Macaca fascicularis: one gene and its partners. The protein of the gene in region 1 interacts with the protein of each later gene in a biochemical or structural test. Links are inferred from orthologs where the notes say so. Each region holds a gene or a part of one and is shown in the gene's direction. Other genes may lie near its edges.

Region 1 (4,240 bases):
TATGACCTTGGTCAAATCCCCCCTGTGGCCCTCAGTGTCCCCCTCTGTACAATACTCCATAGCAGTCATGAGACTCCCTTTACATCCTGTCTTTGGCTCTTTTTTTCTCACACTGTCTCCTCTTTGGATTGGGGATGCTGGAAAGCTGGCTTCCAGTCACCTGGAGTAATTGCATCTCTGGGCCTCAGTCTCCTCATCTGTAAAAATGGGGATGCCCTGGCCACAGACAGGACTGTTGGGGAGGCAATAAAGGAAGAACGCAAATATTCAGTGTAACTCTTCCCCAAGTCTCTTCACACTCACCACATGCAGATCCGGGGTCGGGGCAGCGGCGGCTGCGGAAAGAAAGCGAATTGGGGAAGGCAGCTGTGGTGTCCTGGCCGTCGCGAATCTGCAGCGGGCCCCAGAACTCGCTGTAACTTGCCATCTCATCTCAACGACTAAGAAGGAGAGGCGCGGGCGAGGGCGGGCTTCAGGAGGCCCTAGGTGCTCTATGCGAGCACAATAACCACCAGGGTCACACACCCCTGCCTCTCCTTGCCCAGGCAGCGCGGGAGACGTCCCGAACGTTAGTAAGCATAATGACGATTGGTGCCTGCGGGGGAGCCCGTTTATAAATATTCACGAGCGGACCAGACTGTCCCGCCCTCACCGGGAACAAGTTGGCTCCGGGGTCTTCATCCGCTTTCGCCGCCGCCGCCGCCGTCGACTGGGTCCGCACACTCGCTCGCGTCCGCGCGGCCGACCCACGCGCTGAGATGCGATCCTTCCCCGCTTCCCGCCGCAGCTCGGAGAGATGTTCAAGTTCCGACTGCACCCTCATTCCCAAAAAGTGGCTGGTCTTGCGGTTGAGCATCTCGCCGCTCTTCCGTGCCGCGGCGCGCCCCGGGCTCCCGCCGCCTCGGTTCCAGGACAGCCAGCGCTCGGTCTGAGGCTACCAAGGCCGGGCCCGCTAGCCTTGCTCCGGCCAATCTGCGCGCCGAGAGGCGCGGCGGAGCGAATCCGTGGGGGCGTCTCCCTCCGTCTCAACGGCGACGGTTGCCAAGGGGGCTTGTGAAGGAATGAAGGCGGGAAACGCAAGCTCACGCCAGTGGGTGCGAAGAGAACGCGCAGATACGTAAGAAGTTGCGAGTGCCCACCTGAGCACCCTCTCTTCCAAGTTGTTAATACGAGGGCCGGCGCTGTCCTCAAGGCCGGGAAGTGGGAGCTTGGTGTCAGTTACTATGGGAACTGCCTCTTGGCCAATCACCGAGAGAAAGAGAAGGTGTTTGGGAAGAAGCCAGAGGACCCGAGAGGCGGGACCAAGCGTAACCAATAGAAGCAGAAGATAATGAAGTTTCCTCACATCCGGGGCTGCCTCCGGCGCCTGCGCCCTGCGCACCGTTGGGGGGGCCAGCAACGTCCAGTGACGTCCGGTGAAATCCAAGATGGCGGCGCTAGGCTGACCCTGTTGCTGGTGAGGGCTCTGGCGCCGGCGGGGACGGGATCCAGCAGGTGTGTGCGGGGTGGAGGGTGTTTGGGGCTGTGGAACACCAGCCGTTCCCACATCTCTGCTCTCTGTCTTCTGCAGGTGACGGAAGTACCGCCTCCTCCCGTCTGACGCCCCTCAGGGGACCCTGCGCCGCTCCAGCCGCCGCGGCCATGTCTGGGCTAGGCAACAAACGCGCCGCCGGCGACGGGGGCTCAGGGCCCCCGGAGAAGAAGCTGAGTCGTGAGGAGAAGACCACCACCACTCTTATCGAGCCCATTCGTCTTGGAGGCATCTCTTCCACGGTTCTTGGGCTCTTGCCTTAACCCTCAGAATTTCCCAGAGCCCTCCCTCTGTTCCCTGGCCAAATTGTCCAGAATCTTACACCCACTTCCCCAAGTTTAGCAAGGTCCGCGTTACAGGATACTCTGTTGAAAGAAGCCGAGAACACGACGCCTGTCTTCCCTTTACAGATAGGAAAACAGGTTCCCAGGGGGCGTGTGACTTGTCAAAGACTAAGGAGTTAGAAGGGGACAGGCAGAAACAACGTGAGCCTCCTCACAACCAAGACACTTTCGCTGTGGGTTGTGTGAGCCTCCTTAGATTCTGTTAGCGGTTAGTGTGGGAATACCCCCATCTCCCATGCATTCCAGATGCTCTGCTCCTCTCTTTCTGTGTGATTGGTTTCTGGGCTCTGCTTGATATTCTCGTCGGCCCCTTTGTTTCCTTTGGTAGGAGGAGATGGACCTGAAGGTACTACAGTTCAAGAACAAAAAACTGGCAGAGCGGCTGGAACAACGGCAGGCTTGTGAAGATGAACTCCGAGAACGAATTGAGAAGTTGGAGAAGCGGCAGGCCACAGATGATGCCACACTCCTCATCGTCAATCGCTACTGGGCCCAGGTGGATGCCTTCTGCTTTCCAAGACCAGGCCTTGATTCAGCTGCCAATCCCCAGATTCCCCTGCTGGAAAAGGGGTATAATGTTGGAAAGCATTAAGGGATTCATAACATTTTTGATGCTTTCTCCTTCCAGCTGGATGAAACTGTGGAAGCCCTTCTCCGATGCCATGAGGGCCAGGGGGAGCTGTCTTCAGCGCCTGAAGCACCTGGGACCCAGGAGGGGCCCACATGTGATGGGACTCCTCTCCCAGAGCCGGGGACATCAGAGCTGAGGGGTGAGACCAGAGTTCTGGGATCTAGGGAGCTTCAGTTCTGGGAAAAGTCCTGGGGAGGAGGGGACTTTGGTGTTGGGCCTCTGAATTGCCTGCCTTACTACTCCCCACGAAATGGATTTCATGTTTGGGTGGTAAAGTGCAGTGCACAAAAATACAGGCTTTGGACTCTGACTAACTTGGTTTATAGAGCAATTCATGTTTTGACACCCATTTGTTTGGAAACAGTATTACGGTTGAGTGTTAACTATGTATTTGACGCTTTCTAGAAATGGGTACTTGCTCATTGCATTTGCTATGAGGGAGGAAATTACAAACATAGTAAGCAGAAAGTACTGGGGCTCTTGAAAGGGAATAATTGTGTGTGCACATGTGTGTGTGTGTGAGATTCTAATTTTTATTGGGAAAGTACAGGAGGCATCTCTGAGGATGTGATACGCAACTCTGTAGCTTTGAGGAAATTACTTTACCTCCCTGAACCTCATTTGTCTCACTTTCAGGATGGAGATAATAGTGCACTATAGGTTGTGTTGATTAAGTGAGCCATGAATATTGAAGGGCTCAGTCTGGAACTTAGTACAGAGTGGTGGTAACTGCTGCTATTATCCTCATGAGGGTCTGTCCATTCCTTCCAGAGCCCTTGCCATTGCAGCTGCGGCCCCCTCTCAGTGAGCCGGCCTTGGCTTTTGTGGTGGCACTGGGTGCCAGCAGCAGTGAGGAGGTGGAGCTGGAGCTGCAAGGCCGAATGGAGTTCTCTAAGGCAGCTGTGTCTCATGTGGTAGAGGCCTCAGACCGCCTACAGCGCCGGGTGGAGGAACTCTGTCAGCGAGTGTATAGCCGAGGTGGGTTCTTTGTGCCCATACCCAAGAGGTGTCCATCCCTACCTGCATCTTGATGGCACCCCTTTCCAATTCCCCTAATGCCCAAGTCCAAGGGTGGCCAGAATTCCCCAAGGAATATATCAGCCACGTTCTTGGGAGGGGTAGGTTAGGCTGTAGATGGGGGTTCCAACTTTGATTCCTGGACTGAATGCTAGAGAGATGGGTTGGAGGAGCTGTTGATGCTAGTAGAGCCTCCTGTCCAGAGGCCCCTCTGGAGCACTTTGTGTGGGTTGCAGATCCACAAGGCATAGCTTCAAGGGCTCAGGCCTTGTAGGTTGACAGGCTTCTCCCACTTCAGTTCTGCCACCCTCACCTGGACGTGCTGGGAAAGTGGCTCCCCTCTCTGAGCTGGTTTCCTCCTCTGTGCAGTGGAGATAAAGACTCCTAGCTTTGTCATGAGAAATTGGCAAGACAGCCGGGGGATCACACTGGGCACATAGCAGACTCCAGAATGAGTTAGTTCTTTGCCCCATTGCCCTGAGCTGGACTCTTAACCTGGGCCCTGCTTTCCCAGGGGACAGTGAGCCCCTCAGTGAGGTGGCTCGGGCACGCACCCGAGAGCTGGGCCGTGAGAACCGGCGACTGCAGGACTTGGCCACCCAGCTGCAGGAGAAACACCACCGCATCTCATTGGAGGTGAGGAGCCAGGGGCTTTGGGAGTGGGATTAGAATCAGGCAGGATTTGGGTTAGATGGGCCCTCAGGGACCAAGTCCCCC
Region 2 (4,098 bases), on another chromosome or scaffold:
TCCACCCTCCCTTTACCTGTTGAACCGAACAATTCCCCAAATGGATACAAAAGTACTCAGAGTCCTTAGTATAACAAAGTCCTGAAAGTAGGAATTAGCAGCAATACAGGGAAAGACAGTAACTACAAAAAATATTCAAGGTCTGTGGGAGGTCAACACCTCTGAACCCCCTGGTGGTGGGGGGGCACTTCTCGCCCATTTGCACCTTTCTTGCTAGTGTAAAAAACCTGAAGTTGTCTCAGGCTGGATAGATAACCCTCACTCAGGTCTGCTGGAGCTCTCCCCCACATATGAATCATATTTGTAGGTTTCTTTGACAACCAACCACTCATTGATATGCTTGGAAGACTGCACCCCCACATTCTTAAAAATACAATGGTACTCCCCCCCATAGGCAAGTCCCCGGACTCTGACACATATCTTCAATTGAAAGCAGACCCAGAAAGGAAAAACTGCATAATACACCATCCTTTAATGTTTGCCCAGAATTTCCAATACTAGAAACCCCACTGCAAAGCAGAAAGACTATTTGGTAGCTTCAAGGAACCATTTCAGGAGATTGTTGTGTGGCCCTCAGTATTCAATGCTGCCTTAGAAGATCTTGCGATCCTCTCTCTTCTTGCCCCAAGTACCAGAGTTCATAAGCCACTGAACCAACCAGAGGGGAGTTATTTTTGGTCCCGGTTTAAAGAAAACAAAACAAGCTGTTGATCCTCCCACGACCTCTTGGGTAATGTCTCTATACCTGTGATAAACCGAAAACAACTAATAAAGGTGTATCCAGCCCTCACCCTCTTAGACCCGCTTCACAGACCTGGCCGAAACTCACATCCAGGCGAGGCTCTCACGTGACCCGTTCTAAACGCGTCACAGGGACACGTGGTTCTAGATACTTCTCCCCCTCCCCCTCAGGGGTGGATTGTTGACAAGGCCGCGGGCAGTCACGTGATCTTACATCATCCCACCTCCTTTCCCTGAAATCCCTGGCCCGGATACGTCCTTCTTTCTCCACCCCGCCGAGCCTAAACTAGAGACGGGGAGGCAGACAGGATAGTGTGTCGGTTTCGTGGTCTCTGAATCCACAACCTCTAGTCTGAACACAGAGAACACAAATTTGTCGATCACTTCAGGAAGCCCAGGAAGAACCACGCCCCGCTGAAGGGCTCAGGGAACGCGCGCTCCCCCGTCCCGCCCCCTCCTCCCCCAGCACTCACTCTGTGGTAGCGGCGGAGGGCGGAGGGATCCGGAGGCGGCGGAGGGAGACGTCATTGCAGGGTTGTTTGTCAGTCTTGGCGGCGGCGGCGGCGGCGGCGGCGGCAGCGGCGATCCACAGTGATTCGGCCGCCGCGCCGGGGGGTGGGGGGGCTGCGCGGGACTCTTTTCTTTCAGACTGACCGCGGGGCAGCTGCGGAGCATGTCGACCCCGGCCCGAAGGAGGCTTATGCGGGATTTCAAGCGGTAAGGGCCTTCAGCTTCGCATAGATGACGGCCTCTCAAAGCTGCGGGGCTGCAGGGCGTGGATCCCGGACACCTTCCCCTTGTGACCCTCAGAGGGCCGGCTGTGGGCCCAGGGGGACTGGCGGAAGCCGGGTCCTACCTCGGCCCCTACTCTCCTTATCCTTGCCGCTCGCTCTGGCGCCCGAAGAAATTTCGATACTGCTTCCCCTCCCCCCAAAAAGTAAAACGATGTCGATCGACTGGTCTAGGGTTCCCCGCTGCCCATTTCGGCCAGCTGCCCGGGGTCTCGTCCAGGGGATCAGACGGGGATCAGACATCATCCTCCCGCCCCTGCACCCTGCGGAGACCCTTTCTTGTCCCCTCAAAGTGAGCTCCCGCGGGAGCTTGTTCTTCTCCGGCAGCACCAGTCAGCTTTGTTTCACGGCCCCTCAGTCTTCTCCGAGGAGCCGGGTTGGGGTGAACCTCCCCAGCCCCCCACCCTCGCCAGTCCTTTCCATTTCTGCCGTGAGGGTGGGGTCCAGTGCGTGAGGCTCGGAGGTTAACCCATCCCCCGAAACCCGACTCTGTCCCCGCCCGCCTGAAAAGACCTTGGGAACTGACTTAGAGATCTGGGACCTTAGAGCTGGCCACCCCGGCTGCCAGTGCCTTCTGGAACTCAGATCTGGCTGGTGAAGAAAGCCCTATCTATAGCCTCCCGAGTCTGGAAAAATGCCTTCCCTTAGACTGGCGCTAATTTGATACTCCCTGGGCCTTCTTTGGTAAATAAAATAGGGTTTTGTTAGGAGGTATTGGGGTTGTGAGGAAGAAAATGATTATTCCGTTAGTTTACCTTTTATTGGATACTTAGAGACGTAGAAAAAACAAAATAACGTAGAAAAAACAAAATAAGTGAGAAAACATTTTGATATTCTGCACATTTTTCTTAAAATTTTTTCTGGGGACACCTACCCTAATTGAACAAAATAGCATAAAAACATAGATTTGTCGCTCAGGAAGTCACCTCTCAGCTATTATAAAGCCTATGTGAGGCATTTGGATTTGGCCAACTTATTTAATTCATTCGTAGCTTCTCTTAGCCATTTAAAGGTAGGCGTCAAGCAGTGCAGTTCCTCTAAGGCTTCTGTTTGTGGTGGCCTAATTTGCTTGAGATTGACTAAAAACCTTTTTTTTTATGTGGACTAGTTGCAAATTATGATGCCCCATGAAAACAACTCCATATGTATTTGTGAGTGTGTATAATGTAGCATTTTTAATTGAGGTTACAGTCTCTGAAAGGAGATGCCCTTTTTGGTGCAAAAGTCATTTTTCTAAAGCTTGAAATCAGTGTATCTGATTAGCACTCATGACTAAAATTCAGATAGTAAACTAGTTCATGTCATTGTCGCCCTGGCTCCTTACTGTAATGCTCTGCTTAATTCTGAGTTGAATACATGGCACCTTTTGTAGTTTTCCAGAGATCTATAGGTTACAAGAATTTGACTATGACGAATGTGGGAAAGCCTTGTATTGAGTCTCCTGATTTGAGAGGTAGATTTGATGTTAGTGCAGAGCCTTTAAAATAGGGACTGGCGGAAAACCTACTGATTACTTTTTAAAGCCATTGCTGTTTGAAGCAAAAGGGATAGAGTAAATCTGCTGCCTAATACTAGTTTCCTAGTTAAATTTAATGTGTTTTCAGTCATTTCGTGTTTACACTGAGGTTTGCTTTTTTTTTTTTTCTTGTAGCCATTTTGCAGAAGTAGCCGTGGTTAGGATACACAGTCTTTGCATGTTTAGAGCAGCAAAATCAATGGTTCTGTAAAAATATTACTTGCTTTTGAGGTTTTAAACTTTTTTTGGTATAAGAGGACAGTCTATATACATCAATTCTTGAAGAGATACTCTTGATAATATTGAAAGAGGGATGATTCTCAAGCCCTTCGGATTTTTAGGTAATTTGGAGAGGTATTTAATAAGTATATATACCTGGTTAATATATCTAAGTCATATGGTTCATTTTAGTTCACAATAACAAGGAAATGGAGTTAGTCTGTGTCTCAAAATAGATGGTGTAGTGTCTGTAGGTGTTTATGTGGCCTCCTTAGTGGCCTTAATGTTCAACTTTTTAAATTACAACGCTGGATTTCTAGGTTACAAGAGGACCCACCTGTGGGTGTCAGTGGTGCACCATCTGAAAACAACATCATGCAGTGGAATGCAGTTATATTTGGGTGAGTTGAAAGGTTTAACAAATAATAGGTGTGTGCTGAATCTTTAAGAAAAGTGAACATATAACAACTGTCTAGGAAAAGAAACTGAGGTAGAATGAGAGATCTTAAGGACTAAAACTGCAAGATAAATTAGAAAAAAATTTTTTTCAATTAGAGTTTTGGCCCAGCACAGTAGCTCAACGCCTGGGAGGATCGCTGGAGCCCAGGAGTTCATCACCAGCCTGGGCGATATAGTGAGACAGTGAGACTCTGTCCCCTCTCCACCAAAAAAAGAGTTTTGGCCCAGTCTGGGCAACATAGTGAGAGACCTTGTCTCTACAAAAAGTATAAAACTAACTGGGCATGGTGGTGCCCAGCTACTTGGAAGGCCGAGGCAGGAGGATCACTTGAGCCCAGAAGTTTGAGGCTGCAGCCAGCTATCCAAAAAAAA
Region 3 (3,538 bases), on another chromosome or scaffold:
GGTGCAAAGACTCTTGCAACCCTCTGGCTAGCCTCATGAGCAGGAGACTGCGTGGGATACCTGGGCCTAAATGTAGAATAAGAAAGAAGAAATAAGGATGGTGAGGAGGCCTTCCATGTGAGAATAGGTTCAGGCCTAGCTTCCTGTTCCAGCCACATAAAGGAGAGTGGGCCACACTGGGTGTGCTTACCTCTGAACACACAGCTCACTTAGTCAGTGTGGCCCAGTGAGAAGGTCAGATTCTGATTTATTCCGATAAGTGTTCTCTGGGTAATATGGGGGTGGGGGGTTTAGAGTGATACAAAGATTGTTACCACATATATTACAAAGGACTTAGTTTTTTTGTTTTGTTTTGTTTTTCTTTAAAATTAATTGCTTCCCTCTTTTACAGCCCAGCCATCTAATCAGTCTCCAATGTCTTTAACGTCTGATGCGTCATCCCCAAGATCATATGTTTCTCCAAGAATAAGCACACCTCAAACTAACACAGTCCCTATCAAACCCTTGATCAGTACTCCTCCTGTTTCATCACAGCCAAAGGTATGTCACCTTTGAGGGATATTTGGGAAAGAAACTACTTTTGGAAAATCAATAACATTTTAGAATCTGTTACAGAAAAAGCTCTATGAGAATGAGGTGTAGTGGTGGAATGGATGACAGGTATGATAGTAGATGCAGCCTAGAATTTCTCAGTTCACTGAGGGATAGAGGGGGGCTTTGAATCTGTGCTGCTTTAATACACCTTCTGAGTCTGTTCCCTAATGGTTTTGGGATTTGTCACATGGAGAGTGAGATAAAGAGGGTATACTGTGAGTCTTAATATTTGTAGAATTTTCAGACTCCAAAAGACATGAGTGAACATGTTTTCCAGCAACTTTGCCATATTTGTATTTCAAAAATGAGGCAGTTTTTGTGCTAAGAACTTAATGTATGTTCAACTTTCACATCATGAGCATCACTTGCTTCATTTAATAGATAAGAAAATCAGACTCTCAGTTAAGTCTAGTTTTTGTGGTAGAGTCAGAATTTGAAACCTAGGTGTTTGTGAATACAGGGACCCATTTTACTAAGCTTATATTGCCTGTATTTGTCCCAGCAGAATCTCACATGGTTGGCTCCATAGGTGCAGTTAGAAAATTTCTGGGCTAAATGGTAAATATAGGGGGAATTTCTTTTGAGTAGTTTTGAAACAGTGGGCTGTTTCAAACTTTTTAATGCCAAACAATTATTTGTAAGATCTTAAGCAGCAGCCCAAAAATAAAAATGCATTGAAATACAACTTGAAAGAGGTGGTTGGTCAGCTTTTAAGTCTTCCCGTTTGTTCATCCCTTCCCTACCTTGGCCATTGATCAATGCATGTTTTAGGGCCAATTTAGATTGATTTTTAAAATTCCAAGTTACAGTTGTTAGTTTGTCATGCAGTTCCTTATCATTCACCAGTATTTTAAGGAGGAAAGAATTAAAATGTGAGTTTCAGCAAAAGATAGGTTATTTTTGGAGCTTAGAACTTTTCTTCAGGGTGATATTTTAAGAGTATAGTAAATAGTGGTTAAAAGTGAAATAAGTGGCAGTATTGGTTTTATAGTCACTTGTAAACTGAGCATTTCAACTCCTTTAAGCAGGCTGGGCGCAGTGGCGCACACCCATAATTACAGCACTTAGGAGGCCAGGGCAGGAGGATTCAGTTAGGCCCTGGGCAATACAGCAAGACCCCATCTCTACAAAAATAATTTGAAAATTTACTGGGGGAGGCCGAGGCAGGCAGATCACTTGAGGCCAGGAGTTTGAAAAAAGCCTGGCCAACAGGCAAAACCCAGTCTCTACTAAAATTACCAAAATTAGTGGCACAGACCTATAATCCCAGCTACTCAGGAGGCTGAGGCATGAGAATCACTTGACCTGGAAAGTGGAGGTGCAGTTGAGCCAAGATCACGCCACTGCACTCCAGCCTGGGCGAGAGAGCAAAACTCTGTCTTTAAAAAACAACAACAAAAAAAACTTATTTGGGCATGGCAATTTGTACTACTCAGGAGGCTGGGGTGGGGGAATCACCTGAGCCTGGGAATTCAAGGTTGGAGTGAGCCAAGATCACGTCACTCTGCACTCCAGACTAGGCAACCAGACTAAGACCCTGTCTCGAAGAAAAAAAAAAAAAGTCCTTTAAACAGATAGCTATCAGTTTTTTGTGTTCCGAAAACTTCTTCAAGTTGTTTTTAAAATAATTGAACATTTGAGCTTTTAGTGCTTACTAAAATGTTCTTTATAAGACTTGACTAGAATTGATAGGTAATATTCAGAAGTTAAGCAGGACGTTCCAGATTTGTTAGGGAGAATTATTAATCATATCCCCTCACCCCACCAAAAGAAAAACAGCAGTGAGGTGTGGCTTATCACAAAGGACTCCATCTGCCTTTGTGCCTCAATTTAGAGCTTATATTTTAAACTGCTTATTTTCTCTCTGTGGCTTCTGAATATAATATGTATCCTGATTGGCAATCATGGACTTCAGTCTACCTCTGTAGAGTAACATCTCTTTGAAAAACACTCATGATGAACTTTATATGGGCCATAACTCATTTTCTGATAGCCGAATCACATTGTTTCTCCATGTCATTAAAATCTAAGCATCCATATGTGTATGATGTGGTAGCATACATATTTACTTTTATTGATATAAAAGTAACAAATCAGAAGAGATAATAATGTATTGGAAAGAAAACTGAGTTGTAAAGGAGGAGAGCTAGTTTCTTACACTGGTTTGATAGGGAAGTAATTTTATGACCTTGGGCCATTTTTACAAAGAAATGAGATACCGAAGTTTTAGAACTTGACAGTCTTCTTTAAAACACCATATTTTACATGTTCTAAGACGATTACCTAGATTTTGGGGGGAGAGATGTGGATTAGATTTGGAGACCATCTCACCAGATTTTGACATTTCAGGTTAGTACTCCAGTAGTTAAGCAAGGACCAGTGTCACAGTCAGCCACACAGCAGCCTGTAACTGCTGACAAGCAGCAAGGTCATGAACCTGTCTCTCCTCGAAGTCTTCAGCGCTCAAGGTACGTCGATATTGTATATTGAGACCACATTGTTTTGTTTAATGATAGTATACTGGTATATTGCATTGTTTGAAGATGTATCTGTAAAATATAACAACTTTAAACTCCATGAATACTCTAAAGTAGGCTTATATGTTGTAAAATTTACAAAGACAAACCTGTATACAAGAGGTAGGTTATTGTCTCTAGTAGTAAAGCCCGGGTTATTTTGAAGAAAGTGGCTCTTTAAAATTTTACACAGTGGAATATGATGGGGTAAAGATTTGTGATACTTGTACCAGAAAGGCACATGATTTTACAATATTTGTTGGAATTACATTGCTTTGTAACCTCCTCATAGCAGTTTTGGTTTGAGTATATTGATGAAAGCCAAAGTCTCCTATCTAAAACTTGGGCCGATGTTTCCCGTGTATGTCAGGCTTTCCCAGTAGCTTAACTGTGACCCTATACAGATGACTTTTAGATAGTTCTATACT
Region 4 (4,294 bases), on another chromosome or scaffold:
CTGATATCTTCTGGACATCTTCACGGGGATGTCTCACCAGTCCCATGAACTCAGTAAGTCCCACCCAAAATTTCCTCTCCCAAACTTGTCCCTCTCTCTCTATTCTGTAATTCTGTTAATGGCACCTTCAAATCCCCAGTTATCTTGGGGCTTAGAGTTTCAGCCTCTGTTGACTCCTTCCTCTCTCTTGCCTCCATATTCAACCTGTTGCCAAGTCCTCCCCATTCATTCATATCCTACTTGCCTTTACTGTCACTGCCTGGTTCAGTATCTCACACCTAGATACTGCAAGAGTCTCCTGCCTGCTCTCTTGAGACCAATCTCTGATAAGCACAGCTCTAATGATGTCACTTCCCTGCTTAATGGACTTCCAAGGAATCCATTAGCTTGGCATTCAAAACTCTTGATGACTTAACCCAAACCTACCTTTCTCCTATTTTCAATAATTTTTAAATGTGTATTATGCCTATCTTCTAAGTTATTTTGGGTTGACCTTTAAAAATTATCCTTTAAAACTGTTACTGCTTTTGCAGGTCCACGGACTGTGACTCTTCCCGCAACCTGCAGCTTTTCCACGTTCCTTTTACTTCAGACCCACTGTCCTTGCAACTCCCTGCAGTCGGATAGTCTCATACTGTGGACTCTTCTGAACATATAATAGCCGCTCGGCTTGTTGAACTACCAAGGGAAAATGTGGTTCCAGAGCCAAATTGTGAGTGCCCAAAGCAAAACAAAACAAAACAAAACCCTACTCTGCCTGCCTTAAGCTCCCATTCCCTCCCACAGGACATACAACACCATTTCATTCTGCCCAGGGGTGATCATTGGCCTAAACGTTGAGCGCCCAATCCTGCATTCAATCCCACAGCCCCGCCCCGCCCGCCGGTCATAGTCAAGGCCAATTTATTCTTTTGATTTTTCGTGATTTTAACCAATCACTCTGCTCCGCACCCCTCCGACCCCAATCTCCGGTGTCCGCAGGGATTGGGCACCCTAGAGTTGCCGCTTTTTGAGAACCGGTTTTACCTCCGCCCACTCCTTCGTCCTCTAGTTTGGGACTTCCAAACTTCTCCCCCCTCCTCCCCGGGCATAGTGCGCGCTCTCATGAATGATCTGGTCACAAAACAAAAAAGAAGAGAAAAAGAAAAAAAGGAAGAAAAAAAGAGAAAAAGAAAAAAAGCCGAAAACTTCCCAGGGTTTGCCTTAGAATTAGCAGGTGGGGATGGACCCCGTTCCACCACGAGGTCCTCCAGCGCCCCGGGCTCCAGCGTACCCCACGCCTCTGAGCTCGCGGCCCCGCCCCCGGCCTCCTGCGGGGCTTTAATGACATAAGCAACTTTCCTCGCGCACCCCCCGCCCCGTCTTGGTACGGCCTGTCCGGCGCTCGACGTTCCACCCCCCTCTCTCTGCTCTCAGGTTGGTTCAGCCCCCGTCTACACTGGGGTGGTGCTTAGCCGGCGCCAGACCGACCCTCGACTTCGGAGAGGCAGCGCGGTGCCTCTGGGTGCTTCCGCCTCCCCTTCTCCGGCTTCTCCAGCGTCCTCGGCCTCGTCGCCCGCCGCGGGAACCCGAGACCCCAGTGTATGCCCCACCCCTGACCCCGCTCGCGACATGTCCACTCCGGCTCGGCGGCGCCTCATGCGGGACTTCAAGAGGTAAACCGAGGGGACGGCCGAGGCCGGGGGTTGCGAGCCGGGGCACAGGGCGGGTCCCGAGGCGCGCCGGGCGGGGAGGGCTGGGGAGCGGCCGGGAGCGGGCGCCAGTGCCGGCCTAGGGGGACCCCTGTCTGTCTTCCCGAAGGTTGCAGGAGGATCCTCCAGCCGGAGTCAGCGGGGCTCCGTCCGAGAACAACATAATGGTGTGGAACGCGGTCATTTTCGGGTGAGTCTGCGTTCGTGGCGGTGGCGAGAGAACCGGGTACGCGAGCCCTCTCGGTCTGCGCTCCAAGGCGGGCCCCCCGTGGAGGCCGAGGGGGTAGGGGAAAATGTTTGGGTCTGGCTGGGCCTAGGCGCCTCCCCGGAGCCTGTGCCTCGATTAGCTCAGTTCCCGCTGCCAGGGGGAACCGCTTGGGGTTCTAGGGGGGCGGGGCGGGGAGTGGTGGCGGTTAGGCGCGGCGGCCTGCCCTGTGTCTCTGAGCCCGGGACATCTATTTGTAGTGGCTTTCGACTCCGGCAGCGGTGCGGGAGGTGGCAGAGCTCGGGATAGCCATCTCAGATGAAGCAGGGAGAAGGGGGCCCCTTAAGTGGGAACTGACCATTTTTCTCTGTGTTGCAGGCCTGAAGGGACCCCGTTTGAGGATGGTAAGAGAGAGTTTCTTTACCCACTTTTCAGGAGCCTGATCATCTGGGGAATGGGTTCCCACTCATCCTGGAAGTGTCTCCTGCTTAGGAACCTGGCTGTGCCTAGTCTCTGTCTGCTAAAGGCTTGAGTGGAATGCAGTGTGTAGCTGGTCGTTCTGGATATTGTATGCTTGACTAGAACTGCACCTTTCTTCTTGTTTTCTTAAAAAAAAATCTGGGGAAGGCAGTCACTTTTTAAAAGGAGCAATCATAGCACTGATATTAAGGATTTTTGAGGCTTGGGCTGTGATTCTGCTAAATTCAGCCCTCCATCACTGAATTAGTATAAACCCAACCAGTTGCTGATAGTCAGCAGAAACACCAGAGACCATCTGGTTCAGAATTCTACCCCAAGGGCAGGAATTGTGGTCAGCAGGTGCTTGGTAGATGTGTGTTGGATGTTGAGTGGATGCAAGCGTCCCTTCCATTCAACTGTCTGGTTTCTACAATCTGACATTGAATGCCTGTCAGCCTCACTTCTCTAAGATGGTCTTAAATGCCTCATTTGAGTACAGTATTGTTTCTTATTTTTAAGTGAATTTACAGTGTGTGCTTTCATCAAGACGTTATGATCAGTAATTTCAAAGCAGCTTCACAATTGAAGTTAGCCTCACTGTACCCTTTTGATCAGTGTCCCGCCTACTTGAAAGTACTACATGTACCAGTAGGTACATAATTTTTAAGTGATTTAGGTTTAACTTTTAAAAACACATGTGTAAATTGCTTTTTTAAAACTTTATGATTTTAGATAATTATAGATTCATATGCAGTTGCAAGAAATTAAGAGAGACACCCTTTATACCCTTAACCCAGTCCTCTCCCCAAACCCTCCCGTTTGGTAACATCTTGAATGACTAGACCCTATCACAACCAGAAAAATGACATTGATAGTTCTGCACTCAGTTGTGTGTGTGGTGTGTGTGTGTTGTTGTTTTTTGAAAGTTTAATACATTTAAAGGATGATTAAAGTATTTGAACTTATGAAATTCTTTAATATTTGAGGTTTTTAAAAAAAGGAAAAGGATGTTTCTGTTATTTTTTTTCCTCAATGATTTATCTTCATTCGGTCACATAGCATTTATACACACACACACACTTCAGTTTGAAGGTGGGAACAAAAACATTTCTGCAAACTACTTAATACATACTTATGTTGCTGAGCCGGATTGCTTTTTGATGCTACCAGTCCGCAAAATGTTGTGAGGTAAGTCAATATCAACTAAGTCTATAATTCATCTCAAGTAGTTAGATTTCTCCAGGAAACTGTGGACAGTCACCTGAATATTTTTAGCTTCCTCTCTACCTTTACCCCCTGGGTAAATATCATTGTTCTTCAGGGCTGCAATGAAAAGAAATGACAGCAGGAGACAGTGATTGTAAGGGCATACTACTTTGGTGCAGTTAATCATTTGAGCTGATTTGTAGCAAGAAACTATAGCTAGACTTAAATTTTCCTCTACCAGATTGGCACTAGTTATTTATTTATTTATTTATTTATTTATTTATTTTTGAGACGGAGTCGTGCCCTGTCACCCAGGCTGGAGTGCGATGGCGCGATCTCAGCTCACTGCAACCTCCACCTCCTGGGTTCAAGTGATTCTCCTGCCTCAGCCTCCTGAGTAGCTGGGATTACAGGTGCACGACACCACGCCCGGCTAATTTTTTGTATCTTTAGTAGAGATGGGGTTTCACCATGTTGGCCAGGCTGGTCTCAAACTCCTGACCTTAGGATCCACCCGCCTTGGCCTCCCAAAGTGCTGGGACTACAGGCTTGAGCCACCGTACTCAGCCAGCACTAGTTCTTTATACCTGAGATTTAAATGTACAGATTAACTGTGTATTTGCTTTAGCTCTAGTAGGCTTTGTTTTCATTGGCTTCTTTTTTCCTCGTTTTACTCTGTTTTATGCTGGGCACAGCTTTATTAATAGTACATCGCTTTGCTGGGGATTGGCTA
Region 5 (3,421 bases), on another chromosome or scaffold:
CAAGTCGCGCTCGTCCCGCGCTGGCCTCCAGTTCCCGGTGGGGCGAGTGCACCGCTTGCTGCGCAAGGGCAACTACGCGGAACGGGTGGGGGCAGGCGCCCCGGTGTACCTGGCGGCGGTCCTCGAGTACCTGACCGCGGAAATTCTGGAGCTAGCAGGCAACGCGGCTCGGGACAACAAGAAGACGCGCATCATCCCTCGCCATCTGCAACTAGCCGTGAGGAATGACGAAGAGCTCAACAAGTTACTCGGGGGTGTCACCATTGCCCAGGGCGGCGTCTTACCCAATATCCAGGCTGTCCTGTTGCCCAAGAAAACGGAGAGTCACAAGCCTGGCAAGAACAAGTAATTAAGAGGCTTGACACCATACTCATTCACCCCAAAGGCTCTTTTAAGAGCCACCAAAGTGTCAAATGAAGGGCTGATCACGAAATAGCGCATTAGCTCTTTTTTTGAAAACTTGGGTGGCTCTAAAAAGAGCCTTTGGTCTTTGGTTTGTTTGTCTGCATTTATTTGCTTTTGGCTTTGTGGCTTTCAGTTTTCTTTGGTAACAGAACGGCCTGGATGTTAGGCAAAACGCCGCCCTGGGCGATGGTGACTTTGCCCAGCAGCTTGTTCAGTTCCTCGTCGTTGCGGATGGCCAGCTGGAGGTGACGAGGGATGATGCGCGTCTTCTTGTTGTCCCGAGCCGCGTTGCCCGCCAGCTCCAGGATCTCGGCGGTCAGGTACTCGAGGACCGCCGCCATGTAGACTGGCGCGCCAGCCCCCACCCGCTCCGCGTAGTTGCCTTTGCGCAGCAAGCGGTGCACTCGCCCTACCGGGAACTGGAGGCCAGCGCGGGACGAGCGCGACTTGGCCTTGGCGCGAGCCTTGCCTCCTTGTTTGCCACGACCAGACATGACTGAAACCAAGGTTAAACACAGACAATGCTCAGAACCTCGCTACAAAATAAGCTTGAAAGAGAACCAAGAGGAAAGCCTTTATAAGCTTTCCTAGGGGTGGGGTCTAGAACGAGTTTTTCATTGGTCCTAATATGGCTTCAGAACCGGCCAATCAAGTCAAGAGTCGGTGTTGTTGCGTACGCATTGCTGAAAACGCAAGGTCCGCACACGGACCAATGGAAATGAATGACTTTCGGAGCCCTAATTTGCATAAGGTGGTTATAAAAGAATCAGGCCCGCCCATTCTCTTACTTCTTTTCTTGGCTAAGCCGCGTTTGTACTGTGTCTTACCATGCCTGAACCGGCAAAATCCGCTCCGGCTCCTAAAAAGGGCTCCAAGAAAGCCGTCACCAAAGCCCAGAAGAAAGACGGCAAGAAGCGCAAGCGCAGCCGCAAGGAGAGCTACTCCATCTACGTGTACAAGGTGCTGAAGCAGGTCCACCCCGACACCGGCATCTCGTCCAAGGCCATGGGCATCATGAACTCCTTCGTCAACGACATTTTCGAGCGCATCGCGGGAGAGGCGTCCCGCCTGGCGCACTACAACAAGCGCTCCACCATCACGTCCCGCGAGATCCAGACGGCCGTGCGCCTGCTGCTGCCCGGCGAGCTGGCCAAGCACGCCGTGTCCGAGGGCACCAAGGCAGTCACCAAGTACACCAGCTCCAAGTGAGTCCCTGCCGGGACCTGGCGCTCGCTCGCTCGAGTCGCCGGCTGCTTGACTCCAAAGGCTCTTTTCAGAGCCACCCACCTAATCACTAGAAAAGAGCTTGTTCACTTACTCCCTTAGTTTCTTCTCATAAAGTAATTTTAGCGTAAAGGTCATGGGAAATGCCACACGTAGGTTTTTAACCATTTGGAACTTGAGGTCCCCGGTGCATGATTGGATTTGCTTTTGAATCTAGAGCGTGTCTTCACTCATTGTGCTGCTTAGCATTCCCAGGAGTCGGTTCTCAATTAGGATGTTGGGAATCCGCCTCTTTACCCGCCCCCACTCCCGCCCCACACTGGCGCCCTGGTGGCTTCTTGGGTCTGTTTCATTCTAAAACGAAGTGGCTGAGTTCGGCTGTTATTTAAGAGAACTCCAGGGCACGATTCAGCCCAGGTTCCGCAAACACTGCGTGACAGCTGTGTATGACTGACGCTTGGCAGCACCTTTTGTGTCCGGTCACCAGTTCTGCTGTGCGATGGGGTCTCCTGTGGATACCAGCCGTTCTGTGTATTTTGGACGAAGCCCGCGCAGCCGGGTCCCAGCCTTTTCCTGATTGGGCGACATGAATATTCAAAATTCTGCGCCTCTTTCTAATTTGTAGATTTCAGTTTCCGTCGTTCACTTTGAGACTTTGAAATTCCTATTTCTCGTTTTGTTGATAATTTTTGCATTTAATGGTCTCTGCTTTAAAGGGTAAGGCTGCGGCCCCAGGTCACTGCGAGGCACTTACCGTGTAGATACGGGCTCAAAAGTCACCTGTCAGAGATCTACGTCATCCACTAAGGAATTCGCGCCGCTCATACTTGCCTGTCTCATTTTATCTTCCTTCTAGCAGCTGTCTGAAATTGGTTCGTCTGTTTTCTTGTTTATGGTATTCTCAAGCCCTTGACCGGCTGGTGTGGTTTTCCCGTGCATCTTCAGCCTGGCACATTATGGACACTTACCTAAATACTACGTATTGATGTAATATTGTTGGGTTAGTTTTTCCATCCCATCGTTTTCTTAATCGCTTTCGTGGATGGATGATGGGTGCTGTTCATTTCCGTTAGATGTATGTGAAGGCACGGTGAAAATGGAAATGTTTTTGGAGCTACTTCCTCAAATGTGTCCTTAGTCACCTCAGTGCAACAGCTGGGAGGGGGCCGTGTTAAGATTTTTTTTGCATCAAAGAGGAGGTGGCAATGGTAGATCCACCCTTACGCTTCCCAGTTTAGCATAACCTCTTTTGGATTTTCATCAAATTCAGCGTATTGGTCACTGGAAAGAGCCTTTTCCTTCTTTTCTTACTCTCCCCTCTTGGTGTTCCCCTCTTAAAGGAGAGGAGCTTTTAATTGACAGTCATCACCTCATTTTTTTTTTTTTTTTTTTTTTTTTTTTTTTTTTTTTTTTTTTTTGAGACGGAGTCTCACGCTGTTGCCCAGGCTGGAGTGCAGTGGCGCGATCTCGGCTCACTGCAAGCTCCGCCTCCCGGGTTCCCGCCATTCTCCTGCCTCAGCCTCCTGAGTAGCTGGGACTACAGGCGCCCGCCACCGCGCCCGGCTAATTTTTTGTATTTTTAGTAGAGACGGGGTTTTTTTTCACTGTGGTCTCGATCTCCTGACCTTGTGATCCGCCCGCCTCGGCCTCCCAAAGTGCTGGGATTACAGGCTTGAGCCACCGCGCCCGGCCATCATCACCTCATTTGCTTTCCAGGAGGCCATGCAAGATAGGCAGGACTACAGGGTTAATCTCCTTTTTACAAATGAGGCCAAGGGAAGCCTCATTGGTT

The links.
Region 2: the proteins of RNF40 (region 1) and UBE2B form a complex in vitro, tested with the Homo sapiens proteins (3 studies listed by BioGRID). The link is inferred for Macaca fascicularis from reciprocal best matches to the Homo sapiens genes RNF40 and UBE2B.
Region 3: the proteins of RNF40 (region 1) and WAC form a complex in vitro, tested with the Homo sapiens proteins (2 studies listed by BioGRID). The link is inferred for Macaca fascicularis from reciprocal best matches to the Homo sapiens genes RNF40 and WAC.
Region 4: the proteins of RNF40 (region 1) and UBE2A form a complex in vitro, tested with the Homo sapiens proteins (3 studies listed by BioGRID). The link is inferred for Macaca fascicularis from reciprocal best matches to the Homo sapiens genes RNF40 and UBE2A.
Region 5: of the proteins of RNF40 (region 1) and H2BC21, one has a biochemical effect on the other in vitro, tested with the Homo sapiens proteins (2 studies listed by BioGRID). The link is inferred for Macaca fascicularis from reciprocal best matches to the Homo sapiens genes RNF40 and H2BC21.

The regions. Positions count from the first base shown.
Region 1 is NC_088394.1:28,931,140-28,935,379, forward strand, and holds the start of RNF40 (E3 ubiquitin-protein ligase BRE1B), read left to right. Parts: upstream 1-1,407; 5' UTR 1,408-1,494; intron 1,495-1,570; 5' UTR 1,571-1,641; coding exon 1,642-1,773; exon of another isoform or gene 1,774-2,083; intron 2,084-2,203; coding exon 2,204-2,371; intron 2,372-2,503; coding exon 2,504-2,645; intron 2,646-3,277; coding exon 3,278-3,484; intron 3,485-4,037; coding exon 4,038-4,159; intron 4,160-4,240. Other genes in the region: CFAP119 (cilia- and flagella-associated protein 119), read right to left, coding at 304-335, 653-856.
Region 2 is NC_088380.1:140,910,712-140,914,809, forward strand, and holds the start of UBE2B (ubiquitin-conjugating enzyme E2 B), read left to right. Parts: upstream 1-1,285; 5' UTR 1,286-1,414; coding exon 1,415-1,458; intron 1,459-3,587; coding exon 3,588-3,668; intron 3,669-4,098. UniProt on the Homo sapiens protein: E2 ubiquitin-conjugating enzyme that accepts ubiquitin from the ubiquitin-activating enzyme E1 and transfers it to a E3 ubiquitin-protein ligase. In vitro catalyzes 'Lys-11'-, as well as 'Lys-48'- and 'Lys-63'-linked polyubiquitination.
Region 3 is NC_088383.1:29,309,966-29,313,503, forward strand, and holds part of WAC (WW domain-containing adapter protein with coiled-coil), read left to right. Parts: exon of another isoform or gene 1-234; intron 235-391; coding exon 392-540; intron 541-2,943; coding exon 2,944-3,062; intron 3,063-3,538.
Region 4 is NC_088395.1:125,912,757-125,917,050, forward strand, and holds the start of UBE2A (ubiquitin-conjugating enzyme E2 A), read left to right. Parts: upstream 1-1,462; 5' UTR 1,463-1,611; coding exon 1,612-1,655; intron 1,656-1,800; coding exon 1,801-1,881; intron 1,882-2,274; coding exon 2,275-2,300; intron 2,301-4,294. UniProt on the Homo sapiens protein: E2 ubiquitin-conjugating enzyme that accepts ubiquitin from the ubiquitin-activating enzyme E1 and transfers it to a E3 ubiquitin-protein ligase. In vitro catalyzes 'Lys-11', as well as 'Lys-48'-linked polyubiquitination.
Region 5 is NC_088375.1:111,389,258-111,392,678, forward strand, and holds H2BC21 (histone H2B type 2-E), read left to right. Parts: upstream 1-1,191; 5' UTR 1,192-1,233; coding exon 1,234-1,614; 3' UTR 1,615-2,894; downstream 2,895-3,421. Other genes in the region: H2AC21 (histone H2A type 2-B), read left to right, coding at 1-349; H2AC20 (histone H2A type 2-C), read right to left, coding at 510-899. UniProt on the Homo sapiens protein: Core component of nucleosome. Nucleosomes wrap and compact DNA into chromatin, limiting DNA accessibility to the cellular machineries which require DNA as a template.